Linked DNA regions of Diceros bicornis minor. The protein of the gene in region 2 interacts with the protein of the main gene of each other region in a biochemical or structural test. Links are inferred from orthologs where the notes say so. Each region holds a gene or a part of one and is shown on either strand. Other genes may lie near its edges.

Evidence for each region. The genes of interacting proteins can lie anywhere in the genome.
Region 1: the proteins of SELP (region 2) and CD24 form a complex in vitro, tested with the Homo sapiens proteins (2 studies listed by BioGRID and IntAct). The link is inferred for Diceros bicornis minor from reciprocal best matches to the Homo sapiens genes SELP and CD24.

What each region holds. Positions count from the first base shown.
Region 1 is NC_080749.1:66,398,545-66,406,475, forward strand, and holds CD24 (signal transducer CD24), read left to right. Parts: upstream 1-5,073; 5' UTR 5,074-5,150; coding exon 5,151-5,390; 3' UTR 5,391-6,750; downstream 6,751-7,931.
Region 2 is NC_080743.1:96,116,836-96,125,065, reverse strand, and holds the start of SELP (P-selectin), read right to left. Parts: upstream 3,670-8,230; 5' UTR 3,575-3,669; coding exon 3,572-3,574; intron 1-3,571. UniProt on the Homo sapiens protein: Ca(2+)-dependent receptor for myeloid cells that binds to carbohydrates on neutrophils and monocytes. Mediates the interaction of activated endothelial cells or platelets with leukocytes. The ligand recognized is sialyl-Lewis X.

The sequences.
Region 1 (7,931 bases), on a different chromosome or scaffold from region 2:
GGGAAGCCAACACTTTAACTTAAGGTTTTTTAGGCCATTCATATGACATTCTCTTAAATATAGCTTGCTCTGTATATGTAAAGGCCAGTCTTTAAGTGACCGTCACTTTTCAGATTTAACTTTTAAAACAGTGGATCTCCAATTTTGTTATGAATCAGGATTACTAGGGGAACTTACTAAAATATAGATTTGCTGGTGACTATTTCAGAATCTTTGCAGGTGGGGCCAGGACTTCTGCTTTTGTGAGTTCCCTCAAGGATTCTGATGGAAAACAAAGTTCAAATTTCTTGAAAAGTTGTATTTCTTATTTCAAACATATATTATTTTTTTATTGTCATATTTTGAATTTTTCCAAAAATCTTGACTTGTAGAGAACAGCTTTACACTTGGAATTTGAAATTTCTATCATCAGTGTGCTATTGGTGGAAACAAAATCTGGATAAGATAACAGGAGAGAAGAAAAGACATTTGACTCTGAAATTTATACAATGTTATAAACCAATGTTACTGCAATAAACAAAACAAAACAAAACAACAACAAAAAAAGAAAAGACATTTGATTCTTTTATGGTTACTTAATTTAATGGTCTGGAGAAGAGGGTGAGGATATGTATAAATGTATGACATTGTTTATGAAGTATCCTTTTTTTCTTCTTAGAGTTAATGATATTCAAATTTTTGATAAATTCTTTAGCTCTTAAAAATTAATAATCTTTAAGAAAGAATATAGGTATATTATAGAATGTTAGTATAAATACTTCCTCCAGGCCAAACAAGATATATTTATACCTTTGTATTTGTTTATTATGCAAACTTTTTATTTTTAACAAAAATGCCATTCTAATAGAAGATCTCTGGGAATTTCTAGACATATTGCCCCAGCTGTTGTGAACATTTGGAATTGCCTAGTAACTGACAATAGATTTCCCTGCTACAAATGTGACTAATGGTGTAAAACTGTCCCACTTCTTATGAAGTTCATCTTCAGTTCAAACGTGAAGACCACAGGTTTTGGAGAAAAATAGTATGGCTCTGCAACTTGTTAGCTAGGTGACCTTGAGCAACTTCCTTATCCTTATCTCTAATATAGGGTTAATATTACATATTCATAGAATTTTTGGAAGGGTTAAATGATAACACATACTTAAAGTCTATAGCACAGAACCTAACATGGATTAGGTTCTTTAAAAAAGTTATTTGTCAGCTGCAGAAAAGGCTGGTGGCTAGATGATTACAGGAAAGACCTTACAAGTTCTAAAGATGTTCATTTCTTACTGGAATTCTTAGCGTCTCACAGAAGCTTAGAGGCCTCCAAGCAGATATCAACACAGCTGAGATAATGATTATAACCAGGCCCTAAATAGAGAAGATCAGAAGAATGAGTCATTGGTTCTATAAAGGTTTACTTCTTGATGAATTTAGACTCAATTTGACTTTGTTCTGCATAGAAAGCCCAAGTATACACTATGTACTCTTCCTTACTGAATTTCAGTGATGTAAATATTTTTGTTCAACTCTTCATGGTTGTTTTGAATGCTAAATTCATGCTCTAAGGCATGAGTTAGGATCTAAATTTAGTCACAATCATGGACATACAGAATATAACATGCTTTCAATTTTATTATCTATGTCATCCAAAAGCACTCATTGTAGCAGATTTAATTTTATTTTTCAAGTAAATAGATTTGATCAGCAAAATCAAATGATCTTGGAAACATCAACTTCATAAACATACAAATGAACCTTAACTGTGCTAAAAGCATTTTATTTCCTGAGAATTATTGAACAATGTCTTCAGGCAAAGTTAAATAAATTCACTACAAAATATTGCATCTACTCTTTTTCAATTTACACAAGGCTATATATTCTTATGGAAAAATGATACTATTTTAATATATTTCATTACAAGACTTATTAGTTCATAAACTTTATTCTGTACTACTTACGTTTCAAATGTCTTAAGCATAGAGAAGAAAATTGAATGTTCTACTAGGGGAGATATTTAAGCATCTAAACTTTAATTTTTTGTGTGTGAGGAAGGTTCACCCTGAGCTAACATCTGTGCCAATCCTCCTCTATTTTGTGTTTGGGATACCTCCACAGCACGGCTGATGAATGAAGTAGGTCCGTGCGTGAGATCCTAACCCACAAATCTGGGCCACTGAAGCAGAGTGTGGAACTTGAACCACTCGGCCATGGGGCTGGCCCCTAAACTTTAATTTTATTGTTAAATACATAGGTTTAGGCATTTCTTCAGAAAAAAAAAAAAAGAAAGAAAAGAAAGGTATAGATTTATAAGTGAAGGCACCAAATTCTCTCTGGAAGGGAAACTTCAGAAGGGTTAGAAGAGGCTCAAATACATGCAGCAGGATATAAAACCTCAATGCTTAAATACAGTAGCATATTTTAACAAGTGTTAAAGCATGGGGAAAAGTTCAAGGGTAATGGTCAGTTAGTTAATGTTCACAGTCAAGTTCTGAACCACAAATCCAGTTAATATGTGTGGAACTGATTGTATGATAAACAATAAGTCAGTTGTAAACCACAGAAACGTGTGCTTTAGGTGTAATGTGACAAACAAAGCTAAGAAGCACAGATTTGCTGTGACACCAAATGTAAATAACCTAAAATGCTACAGGAAACTGACGACAGCCCCTTAGTTCCTGACAGGACACTCTGTGTTTAACAATTTAAAAATATCGTCTCTAAAGGCCAGTTAGCTCAGTTGGTTAGAGCATGGTGCTAAAAAAATATCTTCTCACCCAGAGAGGTTATCGTGATTAGCCCACTTAATAACAATACTATTATTAACAATGAGTATTTATTATCTTAACAAGCACACTGATAGATATTTCATATTTATTCTCTCACTTAAATCTTGCAATAATTATCAGATATTCTATTAACCCTATTTTAAAGCTCTTTAAACTGAGTCACAAAAAATTAAATAACTTGCCCAGGTTCACTCACTGGAAGTGACAGAATCAGGATTCAGTCACAAATACTTCTGACTTGGGATCATGCTCTTAACTACTTTAGTCTATTACCTCTCTTTTTTCTTAATTTCCTCAATTTGTAACATTTGTCCGAACAGACTTACTTTCATCATATTTTTATATGAATATATATAACTGCGATCTCACTTTTCTCTTTAAATTTCACCTCTATCTCTCTTCCATTTCTACTTCATTTGCCTTAAAACTTCTTTCATGTTTGTCCACTTTTCCACTATGTTATTAGGCTATAGGAAATATCATATATACATAGACATTAATAATTATTTAATGATAGTTATGAAAGTGGAGCCCTGAAGGACAAATACATGGGCTTTCAATATATGAAACATAAATGTATAAAACTAAGAAAAAATGACTAATTTATTGTATTACTTTTATAAGTATGGCTGAGGCATGGAGGGGATTTGATTAATAGCTGTTTGGTTAAAAGAACAGTAAGCAAAAATTTAGAAAGTAATGTAAATGAACATGGAAAAAATTCTACAAACCATTAAGAATATCGTGGGAATAAAATGAAAGATTGGAAAAGATGGCAAAGAGAAAATATGATACATTTTCAGCTAAAAATTAGCTGAAAATTTGCCAACTTCTAACCTAGCCTAATCCTAGGTTTATTGATCCAATATGCAAATGGAGAAATACAGTGTGATAATAAACATATCAGAAAAGGTTAAATTTTATAAGAAAACAAAGAAATTACTATCTAAACAAGATTCTAGTTATCTTCTATCAAATACACAAAAATTAAAGTAAATGATAATATCTAGTTATGAAAGTATTTAAAGAAAATAAATATTGAAAAGCTCACTCCTACTTTCTGAAGGAAATATTATTGGCATAAATGAAGGGGCAAAGCAGTAATACATATCTGTAGGGGAGGAGAGAACTCTGCTCTTCCTTCTTTGGGTCTCTGGCTAGGCCTAAGAATTAAATTGACATAAGGCAGACTAACAGGAGAAAAGCATACAAATTTTATTAAATTGTTACATGTACACGGCAGCCTTCACAAGAGAATGAAGACCTGAAGAAGTGACCAGAGCAGAGAAGCTTTTGTACCTTATAGACAACTTTAATAATTCTGCTTGCTCCCTCTTGCATCTCTGCCATGGCAGTGAGAAGAGCATGCCCAGGCTAGCCTACTGGTCCCTCTGAAGCAGAGCAAATCACCCCAGCTGAACTCACCCTAGATCCAAAGACCTTCAGCTGACCTTAGCAGAGTGAGAGAGCTAAGATGAGGTCAACAGAGCTGTCCAGCCTTAAGCCGCTGAACTCTGAGATACGCCAGAAATAAATGTTCACTGAGTTCCTCAGTGGTTTGTTACATATCAAAAGCTAAAGCTTATAGACACATTTTAATAAGAAAAATATCCATGCATTGCATTCAAGCATGACAAAGCATATTTGAGGCATAAAGGAAATAATTAACTGTGGTTATTCTGGCTTTATGAATATGAGCAATTTTAATTTTTTCTTCATACGTATGTATGTTTTAAAATATCTATACAATAAGCATGTATTATTTGCCATAAGCAGAATTTTAAATAGAAATGATAATAGATAATAAAGTTATTTATCTTCTTCCATTTTAAAGAGAATAAATTGCTGTTGAAACTTTCTTATTAATCCAAATAAAGTTTTTTCCTTAGGAAATAAGAACTGATTCCAGAAAAGTGATAGAAATAAAAGTACGTGAATCAACTATTCAGTATTATAATCTTTGGATTTAGTGGCTTTTACTGATTGGATTATGGGCACATAAAAATCTCAAGGTAATGCTACATATAGTTTAAAAATAGACTTTAGTTTACTCTTTCTGTTTCCTAGCCAAAATGCAAGTAGTGTGTTTCCTGCCATTAAAAACTTTATCCAACTTTTTCATGGCTAAAAGATAATTTTCCCAGGGATATTCTCTTAGAAAAAGTTGAAATAATGTTTTAAATGCTTCTGTGATACTTGCTGAATGATATTTGAGGCAAATCAGAACCTCTTTGCTTCTGATCTAAAACAGGCGAGATTAGTTCATCCATAGCTTTAAAAATTACCCTGGGAGACCTTGTCTGCGCCCGCCCCGAATCAGCGGTTCTCCACGCACCCAGCCTTCAGCGAGACGTGCCGCGCACCGACGGAGCGGACATGGGCAGAGCGATGGTGGCCAGGCTCGGACTGGGGCTGCTGCTTCTGGTGCTGCTCCTACCCGCGCAGATTTGTTCAGCTAACACTACTACTGTAAACACACTTTCAAGTAACTTCTCCCAGAGTACCTCGGCTGCCCCAAATACAACTAGTGTCACCGCCAAGTCAGGTAGCGGTGCTCTGCAGTCAACAGCCAGTCTCTTCGTGATCTCCTTCTCCCTTCTACGTCTCTACTGTTAAGAGACTCAGGCCAAGAAACATCTGTACTTCTCCATCTTCTAAACCCAATCCAAATGGCATCTAGATGTCCAGTGTGGCAAGGGAAAAAACAGGTCTTCATCAAATCGGCTAATTCCACACCTCATTTTATTGACCCAGAAAATGTTGAGGATCCCAAATTTGATTGGCTTGAAGAGCATGTGAAAGGTTTGACTAGAGGATGAATGCCAGTATTAAATCTGCTGGAGTTTCACGTACAAGATGAAGAGAGACAACCTCCAAAAATTTTAAGAGATGATTTCCTGAAATGTGGCTTAAGAAATATAGACTCATAAAACTCTACCTTGAAAATAAGAATAGATTTTATCTTATCTAAAGATCAAGGATGGGATGTGGAACAGAGATTCAGTTTTCATTTGGTTCTTTAAACCTATGAGGCCATAAAACAGGTAATATAAAAAGCTTCCATGATTCTATTTGTGTGTTCATTAGAAGGAACTTCCAGGTGTTACTGTAAATCCTCAATGTATTGTTTCAACAGTACTAATTTAATGCCGATGTACTCTAGATAAAGTTTTATATTGTTAAGCTATCACTGTTCTCTTGAGAACTGAACTCTTTTTTCCTCTGAGACTTTGGATTTGACATTGTATTTGACTTTATGTAGTAATTGGCATGTGCCAGAATAATGATGGATTGGAATCTACCCTAAATCCAAGCATAATGAGTAAATTTTGCTTATGTACTAATCACCCATATTCAACAAGAGCGCCAGATTCGTTTAACTGAACTGATTCCAAATAGAAGTGCATTGACCTCAACTAGTTTCAAAATGCTTTCTATTTCAGCCTATGTCGAATACTTTTTACAATTTAAAAAGTGGTCTGTTTTGAAGGTAAAATTGACAAATCTTGAAATTAAAAAGGCAAATATGTGAAGGAGCTGAAACTGTAAATCAAGTATTTTAGAAGTGAAGACTGGAAGCTAACTTTCATTAAATTCGGAAAAACTTTTATACTCTTTCTGTAAATACTTTTTTTAAAAACTATGAATCAGAATAGCCACATTTGGAACACTTTCTGTTATCAGTCAATATTTTTAGAGAGTTAGAACCTGGTCCTAAGCCTAAAGTGGGCTTGATTCTGGAAAGTAAATCTTTTCACAACTGCCTCGATGCACAAAAACCTTTTTAAAAATAGACACTCCCTAAAGTCTTTTGTTCGCATGGTCGCACACTGATGCTTAGATGTTGCTGTGTGTGATATGACCACAGTAGTCTTGATAACCAGTCATTTTTTTTTCCATCTTTAGAAACCTACACCAGAACAACAATATCCAACAGATCTCAAGCTACTGTGTGTGTGAATGAACATTCCCTTTTGTTTCATATCTGAATGCTGTACATCTATTTTGGATTGTATATTGTGTTTGTGTATTTATGCTTTGATTCATAGTAACTTCTCATGTTATGGAATTGATTTGCATTGAACACAAACTGTAAATAAAAAATGACTGAAAGAGAAAAAAAAAAAAAAATTACCCTGGGAGATTTTTAGGTTTTGTGGTGTTATTTTCACAAATGACTGTTTCAAAGTCTGAGAAAATTTGCAAGTTATATTTCATATTTCTCTTTCCCTCAATCCTCACATGCAATCCATCAGTAAGTCCTGAAACTTTTTTGCACCTCCACTTTTATCATTATATTGTCAAAGTATAATTTTTAAACTTAGAAACATGACTTTATTACAAATATCAATTGAGCATGTGCCAAACATTTATTTAAATCAAGGAGGGAATTGGCAGGAAGGTAAAGCTGGTTGAAGGAGCATTTGAAGAGAGTTTGATATAGTCTGTTAAGAAAGGCATGCTGAAATAAGTTTGCAAATTTAGGGACAAAACTGGTTAATATCCAACAGGGCAATAAAATTACAACCTTTGAGATTACCTTTCTTCTGGGAAGAAATTATTTACATCTCTAATGGGAAACTACAAGTCAACGTGTAACTTCACGGATTCTTAGCCTTAATCAACAGTAAATAGCATAGCAGACAAAGGTACATACTCTAGGAAGTTAAATTATTCCTGGGTAATCCTGTCAAATAATGCCCCAGTCTGACACTGAAATTACATGCAGGTATTCTATTGATTTAATAGCCGTTTCGAACAATTTTTCTTAACATTTCCCCCTTGGGATCATAAGTAATCTCCAAAGAATATTCTTCATCAAAAAAGGCTGGTCTTCTTGTGTTTTGACCTGATTAACTTACATAGGTTAGTAAAAGGCATTAATTAAACATAGAAGCTTGTCTATAGTATAGTCAGCCAGTTTAGAGCCATTCAGTTTTCAGCAACTCGTTGCCAGAGAATTAACTTCTTTCTAGAGAATGTAAAAGGAAAACATTAAAAGTAACAAGAATATATCAAAATAAATTGTGTTGGATAAAATATGCCCACAAATTCTTTTCTGCTTTTTCCATCAAGTCTTATTTCCTCTTTTTAAACTTGGTTTGGTCTTGTAACTTTCTTTAATCAATAAAATTCAGCAGAAATGGGTGTTGTATG
Region 2 (8,230 bases):
TTATAACAAACATCTTGTAGTTCCCTGAATGCACTGCATGTTCCCCATGTTCTTCTTATGCCCGGGGCACCCTTTCCTTCTTGTTTGCCTAGTTCTATAAGTCCAAAAAACTCCTCCTCAGAGGAGCCTTCCCTATCACCAATCCCCTCCTCCCCATACCATGTTAGGTGCTCCTTTGTTATTGCCTGTGTTCTTTCCCATTATTATTTCAATAACTATTGATTTATTAAGTGCCTACAATGTGTCAGGCACTGTTCCAGGCACTCACATTAAAATGATAAAAACAGATATAGTTTCCATCTTCACGGAATGTACATTCTATTGAGGGAGACAGACAATGAAACCAACACCAGTAAATACACAACACTATGGAACAAGTAAATGTGAAAAATAGAAGATAATGATAAGTGCTAGGTAGAGAATTCAAACAGGGTGATGTGATAGAGTGACTGGGTGGTTATGTAAGACAGGGAGGTCAGGGCAGACCTCTCAAGGAGGTAACATTTAAGCTATGAGCAGAATGACCGGAAGAAACCAGGCAGCAAGAAGCAGGAGGAAGAGTGTTAAAGACACAAGAAAAAGCTGATGCAAAGGCTTTAGGGTGGAAGTGAAGTGTGGAGAGTCCAAAGAACATGAAGATATCAGCGTGGGCTGAATGGAGTGAGCAGGGGGAAGGAGAGTATGGATGAAGATCTGGTGACAGATCCCGCCGGGCTTTGGGAGCCAAAACAAGGGGAGGAGATATTCTAAGTGCAACGAGAAGGGCAGGGGAAATTTTAAGAGAGGTAGTGATGTAATCTGATTGATGTTGAAAATTGGGAGGTCCTAGAGTTTAATTGAAAAGATACGTTGAGGCCAGATCTTGTGGGTCTGAAATGACAGTCAGCAGAAGGGATTCAATTTCCAGGGTTCTGAACAGAGAAGCATGCTGAACAGGTGCATCTAACAATGGTGTGTTTGATGAATTAGAAGCAAAGATACTGAGCTGTGAAAAGAGGAGGCTACTGTAATAGTCCCAGTGGGAGTTATAGAGAGCCTGGCTTGGGCTGAGGTCAATGGGAATGCAAAGGGGGTAGGTAGATGTGAGGGTCACTGAGGAAGCAGAAATACACAACTTGTTAGTGGCAAAGTATAGATTTTACAAGTCGTTATGACTGACAATTTCCCTTAAGTTTCTGGGTGGTGGTGGTGGTATAGCTACAGATATTGGTGCAGCCCCTGCTTAAAGGTAAAAAATGAAACACAGTGAAAAAAGAGATCTCTAATCAAACAGCAAATTAGAAATAAAGGCAAGAAGGAGCCCAGGACAGCAACTCTAAGAATCAAAGCATATATGTAAAGTAGACTACTGATTGCCAATATTCAGAGTGAAATATTAGCACTAAAAATAAAGTAGCATACCTAAATTTTTTAAGTCTTTTCGACCATGGCAGAGCAATATTCTTACAAATATAAAGGATTAGTTTTGTATTTAACTTTATAAAATTTCTGTTTTGCTTTTTGATCAGAGATGTTAGAAACCTAGAAGACAACGTAATGAATGTCCTTTGTGAAACCAGCGTGTGCCTACTCTCTAGGCTTAGGTCCAGGGTCTTTTCTCAGTGCTATCTATTGTGTCGTAAGTCATTTTGATTTTTGAGGATTTTGATTAACAATAAGCTTCCACTTACAGAATTCTGAAGTTGCGCATTCTAAGAGCTGTCGTTTCCCCTTCCAGAGCGGGAAGAGTGGGAATCATCTAGATGCATTTTGAAAAACAGGTAATGGAAGGAAGAGTAAGAACTAGAAGCCACAGACCTAAGATGGCTAAAAGGCAGAAACGGAAGAGAACCCAGACCTGCTCCTTCGCCCTCTTGCCAAATATTGGCATAATTTAACTGTAAATTCCCAATCAAGAGCTCCCCCTCTGAGAGCTACCTGATTGAAAACACCCCACCAGATAAACTTGAACCTCTTTCCTCAGGTCCTAGAGGTCAATTGAAGTCACTCTCTGAACTTGAAGCCAAATTATACACAGAGTTTGAGGTTCCTGAACCCCCAAAGTTAAATGTGTTCAAGGGAAAAAGAGGGGGTCTTGTCTTTGGAATATTTAAAATAATTTCAGGGCTGGAGTCCCTAGCACTTCAAGGGAGTTCCAGTCTAATTTCAGGATGCCAATTGAGGAGCTTCTGAGCACAAAGCATAGGAGGCAAGAGCGCAGTTCTTAACCTGGGACCCACGTGAGGTCTGGGAACCCCCTGCGGTTGTCCACAAAGCTTGGTGTTTATGTGGATGTTAGTGTTTTCATATGGGAACAGGAGTTGAACCTTTCACCAGAATCTCAAAGGACTCTATGATCCAATATGTTAACACACCTCTGAAATAAAGGAGGATCCCAAAGAGAGGAGAAGGAAGAGGGGAATAACTGCTCATTCATTTAAGTTAACCAATTCAGAAGTATGATATGCAAAAGAGAAGACAAAAGTCAGCTACATTCTTACGTCATTGGGGTTCAGACTTACGACAGACTGAAACCCCTTCCTCTTCTCTTCATCGCCCTCTCATCCCTATTCTCCCCGACACAGAACATCCTCATTACAGGTGTTTGAAAAGTGTACCACAGTAAAGCAAGAGGTGGGATAAATCAAATGTAAGTGCTACTTTCTTCTGGAATCCCATAGAAAGGGGCTCAAAAACGGAGACAGTCTGGTTCCTCTCTAGCTACAGGCTGCAGGATTTTGGACACCGGAACTGTATGAGATACTCCTGGTAAGCTGGGGGTAAAACTGTGTTTGTCTTATCTAGGATAATGTTAATGAGTTCAAGAATGCCTTTTTCCTTGGATCTTCCCTGGATCCCAAACTCCAGTAAACCCCAAGAGTTTTCTCTTTCTCATAACAAGAATAGCTTGCATTTATTAATCAGTTACTATGTGCCAGCCTCAGATTGAAGTACCTTTCAGTGTAATCTTATTTAATCCTCACAATGACACTACAAAGTAAAATACTATTATTATCTCCATTTTACAGATGAGGAAACTGAGTCACTAATAGGATTGAGACTTAGGGCAGAAATGGGAACCATGTGGCTGCTGCACAGCAGTCTCAGCAAACTCGTAGGGCTCAGAGAAAGAAACAGGAGCGTGGGGGATGAGAAACCATTCAACTGTAGCCTTGACCCAGGGCACTTGCTCAGCCTTGCATTCAACCCAGAGAGCAGAGCGGTCCTGAAGAAGAGGGTCGAGGGTTTACCAAGATCTGCTCCAAAAGCCCTGATAGGAAAAACAGCAACTGTGGAGCCAGAGGACAGGAGTCCGGGTTCAGACAACAGCGAATGCAGCCTTAGGTAAAGCACCCAGCCTCTGTGAGGCACGGCGGCTTCTTCTGTAAAATGGAAATAACGACCTCCACTCACAGGGATGTGGGGAGGGTCAAAGTGGACAGCAGGTTTTGAAATGTATACTCCAAAGGGCTGTTCAACACAAAGCTCCATAACTGTTGCTATTTCTCACTTTCTGAACATTTACCTGCCTGATTCACCCACAAATCACTTCAGCTCATCCATTTCCCATAGGAAAGAGAAATGAACTTACCATCTCCTCTGCGACTCCGCTGGCTTTCTGCTGTCTGCCCAACCCAGACTTCTTATAGTTTCGCTGCCTCCCGTCAGTGTCAGGCTGTTTAGAAAAGCAACTTCCTATTCACTTTCCAGAAATTCACCATAGCCCTTCCCACGCGGTTAGAACGTTGATAATACAGGAGCAATGCTGGCAGCATAGAAACAGCAGTCACCGAGGGGGCAGGAGTCGCCCTCTTCCATGGAGGATGGTCTGGAGCAGGGACAAGTGTGAGTCACTCCTGGACGTTGAGGCTGAGCTGCGCAGGAACAGCCCCCACACCCCCAGGGGTCAGGTTTCCTTTGATTATGATGTGAACCCCAATGTAAGGTCATGTATTTGGAAAACACACTTTGTCTTAATCATAACGTCCTAGTGTAAATTTTCCAGTTATTGGGAAATCTCAGTGAATATTTACTATTCCAGCAGGCTTCTGAAGGAAAGGAGCAAAAATAGTAACAAAAAGTAATTAGGTAGGAAAGGAAAAAGCCACTGAGGGTTTTCTGGCAATTGGGGGTGATTGTTGGAAACAATTTTGAAGTGAAATATAAAACAGACATGGGTCTTTATTAGAAAGGAACTTCTGTTCCTTCTATCATAAAGATGGGACGGTTAGTGTGTGGGAGTAAAAGGCTGTGTGGCACTGACTTGGGCTTAGATTAAACTGCCTGAGACCCATCTTGGCTCCACGCATGGCTCTCCACTAGGCAAATTACTTGAACTCTCTATGCCTCTGTTTTTTCAACTAAACAGAATGATAATAACACAACTTACCTTACAGGGTTGTTGTGCGATCAAAGGAGTTAATATATGGAGAGTGCTTGAAACAATATCTGGCGCACAGTTGGCACTCGACAAATGTAAGCTACTATTATTACTTTTCAGATTTCAGACAGCAAAATCAAGTATCAAGTATTTAGTGTGAAGTCAGAAAACCACAACTCCAGTTTATCCTCTTGGAATTCTCGTTGTGTGGTGGTGGGTGTTATTTTTCATTCACTCCATGATTGTTACAGCTTGTAAGTAGGCATCTCGTGGATAGATTAAAAACAGAATAAATTGGAAAGATCTAGAAGGATGTCCAAAGGTAAAGATGGTTTAAGAAGCTTGGCACTGCATTTGCCCTTAGGAATTTGGGACCAAGAGGAAGGGATTAATTACAAAGTAGAAATAGAAAGCCTGGTGAAGGAGGTGGTGATGGAAGAATGATAGGAGGGGAACAAGGGATGTAGAGAAAGAGGAGAGAATGGGGAGCTGGGAGGCAGCATGATGCCGTGGTTCCCGCCCAGCCCTGGAGCCAGACTGCCTGGCTCCACCACCTCCCAGCTGTGTGACCTGGGCAAGTGACTACCCTCCTTGTGACTTAGTTCCCTCAGCTATATTAATCAGTAAAGATAATGGTCACCAAGCATCACCACGTAGAAGTGTTAAGACAATTAAGAGGGTTTACATGTGAAGTGCTTAGAACAATGGCTGGCACACTGTAATTTCACGGTAAGTTTAGCTTTTATTTTTATAAGACTTACCTCCACTGCCTTCTGTTCTTATTTCACTCTCCAGTACCTCTTTTTGGCATTGCCTCAGCTTTTTTTTTTTTTTAATTTCTCGGGGAAATTTAGGTCTGAGAGAAGGTGCTATGTAGACTATAGGCTCTTATTAATAATGTGTTTTAAGTTGGATAATGCTAAATTTTAGGGAATACGAGGGAAGTAGAAAAGTATTCCTAGGAATAGAAATGGGAGGAAAATACCATTTGACTTTCTTTAAAAGCTGTTCAGGCTGAATAGCATTTGCTCATATGGATATAGTCTATGTAGAAAATTTAGGTTGTTTCTAATTATCCGGCCATTAAAAATATCATATAATTCCAATATAGTTTAATTAGTAGTGTTATTTATCTGTCTCATATATGTTTTCTCATCTCTTCATATTGTAATCTAAATTCCTAGAAGGCAGGGACCTTTTCTTATATTAGTCTTGCTTCTCCTTGAGTATCTAGCTGAAGGCAAATATACACTTAACAAATACTTGTTGATTCATTAGTTAGATTGACAACTCTGGGATTAGATAGACACAATGAAAGTGCCCCCTCCCATCTTCCTCTCTGGATTCTATTTATCTTAGTACAGCAGTGCATTTATATACGCAAGAAACATTTAAGTCCCTTCTGGGCTCCCAGCAGTGTGTTAGCAGTGTGTTAGCAAAACTCTCACGGAGCTCATGGTTGCTGTCTTTTTTGGGGGGCAGGTAGGGGAGGCATTAGATATTAAATAAAAGTCACACAAATAAATGCAGGGGGAAGAACGTGTGGTTCAATGAAAGGGTATGATGGGAACTTGACCTGAGGAAGGTTCCCTGGGGAGAGCGACTTTAGAGCTGAGGTCTTCATTTGAATAAGGAGTACAGACTTCCACTTATAAAATAAATGAGTCACAAGGATGTAATGTACAGAATAAGGAATACAGTCAATAATATTGTAATAACTTTGTATGGTGACATAGTTACTAGTCTTGCCGTGGTGATCATTTTGTAATGTAGGTAAGTGTCGAATCACTATGTTGTATACCTGAAACTAATATAAAACTGTATGTCAACTATACTTCAGTAAAAAAAAAATTTTGAGTAAGCGTGACCACACTGGGTGAGGGATCATTCTAGGCCAGTCAAGGCTCAGAGCAGCCTGGGAGCCTCAGACAGTCTCAGTGGCTGCAGGGCCCTAAAGGAGGCTGGACCCAGACCACGCCGGGTCTTCAGGCCATGTTAGGGCTGTGTCTTCATGTACACTGTCTGTTGTGGGGTCGTAGAGAAGACAGTTAATTCCTCAGGGAAGTGCCGGCTGCACAGGTGGTCCCTCTACTTAGAGAAGACTAGAGAACTTTCTACATAAAGGCTGTAGGATGACAAGTCAGAATTTAAAAAAGAGAACATATAGCTTTTTTTCCTTATCATTTAATATAATACATGTTCATTGTTAAAAAAAGAAAAAAAGAAAAAGAAAATTCAGAAAAGCACACAGAAGGGAAAAAATCACCCGTAATACTGTCTCCAAGGGAACCGTTAGCACGTTGTGCATTCAGGTACATTCAATACAATGCTTTCCATTTGATAGTATATCATAAACCTTCCTGACATTTTAAAATATATTTCTGCTCTAGTTACAACTAAAAAAACTCCCAAGTGTCTGTCCCTCCCCTGATGGCTGACACTGTCATGGACAAAGATGTCAGCTCTCCCTGTATAATTTTAAGAAAATATCTTACACAAGTTTCGTGATATCTTACACATACTCTTCCTGCTGAAATTCTGTGGAAATTGGTCTGTGGTATTCCACTCAAGTGTTTCTTTTCTCTATCTTTGCTCTCCAGTTTTTGAAAGGGAAGGAAAGGCAAAGAAACAAATCATCTTGGCAAAGGTCTCAGACAATCAGACAATAAACATGAACTTTCACAAAACTGTCCACTCACGTATCCTTAAATAGAAATCGAATTCTCAAGACACACTCCACGTTACCATGTTTATGCCCACTTAGCCCCATCCAGGAGTTCATTCATTCATCTACACATTTTTGTGAGGACCTGTTCTGTGCTATCATCTAAGCTATGCTCTGGAGACACAGAAATGAATAAACACAGTCCCTGGCCTGAAGGAGCTCAAGGCCAGGGGAGAGCCAGACATAGAAACAGACAGTTACGAACAATATGGAGGAGGGAGTATATACACACATTCTTGTGCGAGCCCCACAAGAGGACGGCTACCTCAGTCTGATCATGCAGTGGAGAGGTGGTCAGAAAGGGTGCTCAGAGGAGATGACCTCAGCTCGGTGGAATAAGTCAGATTCTTTTGTGCAAGCTCAGTGGTTGGACAGGCACATACGGATAATACTCTAAACTCAGCAGATGAATTAGGAAGTGGTTTTTCACATTAAAAGTATTTTTACTCTTCCAAAAGCATATTGTGTCTAGGGCCCTTTGATTACCAGAAAGCTATGATAACCACAGAAAGGTTATCACATACAGCAGAACACTAGAAACACAATTAAGTGGGTGATCTATTTATAAATGAATACCATGAATAGACTATTTCAAAGTCACTGAGGAAGTGAAGGAGAGATATTACGATTATGAGCTACCATTACTGAGCACTTATTCTTGGGCCGGACCATATGCTAAGCATTTTAATAGCTATCTCTCATTTAATCCTTGCAACAACTTTATGAGGTAGATTCTATCTGCATAGCTGGTCCGTCTACTCAGAGATTATTATGATACACGTTTTATTAAAAAGGAAACTGAGGCTTGCAGGGTTAAATGCCTTGCTCTAGATGACAGAGCTGATAATGGAAAAAATGGGATTCAAATTCAAGTCCAGCTGAAACAATACTACGCTAAAATCTGGAGTTTTTTCCATTAAACTCATTAAAAAGTGCTTTCTGGAAAGAGAAGAAGAGGTCCTTCTAACCCTGTTCTCTTTGTTTTCTGTGGGTATTTTATGCTCAAAAGCTCTGGTAATTAAAGATGAATCAAGAGTGAAACTAAATCAACCTACTTCTCATATCCCTGTCAGGACATGGTTGTCACATCTCAGGGCAAGGTCTTCTGTCACTGAGTCTGCTGGGTTAAAATCGCCTTGATCACA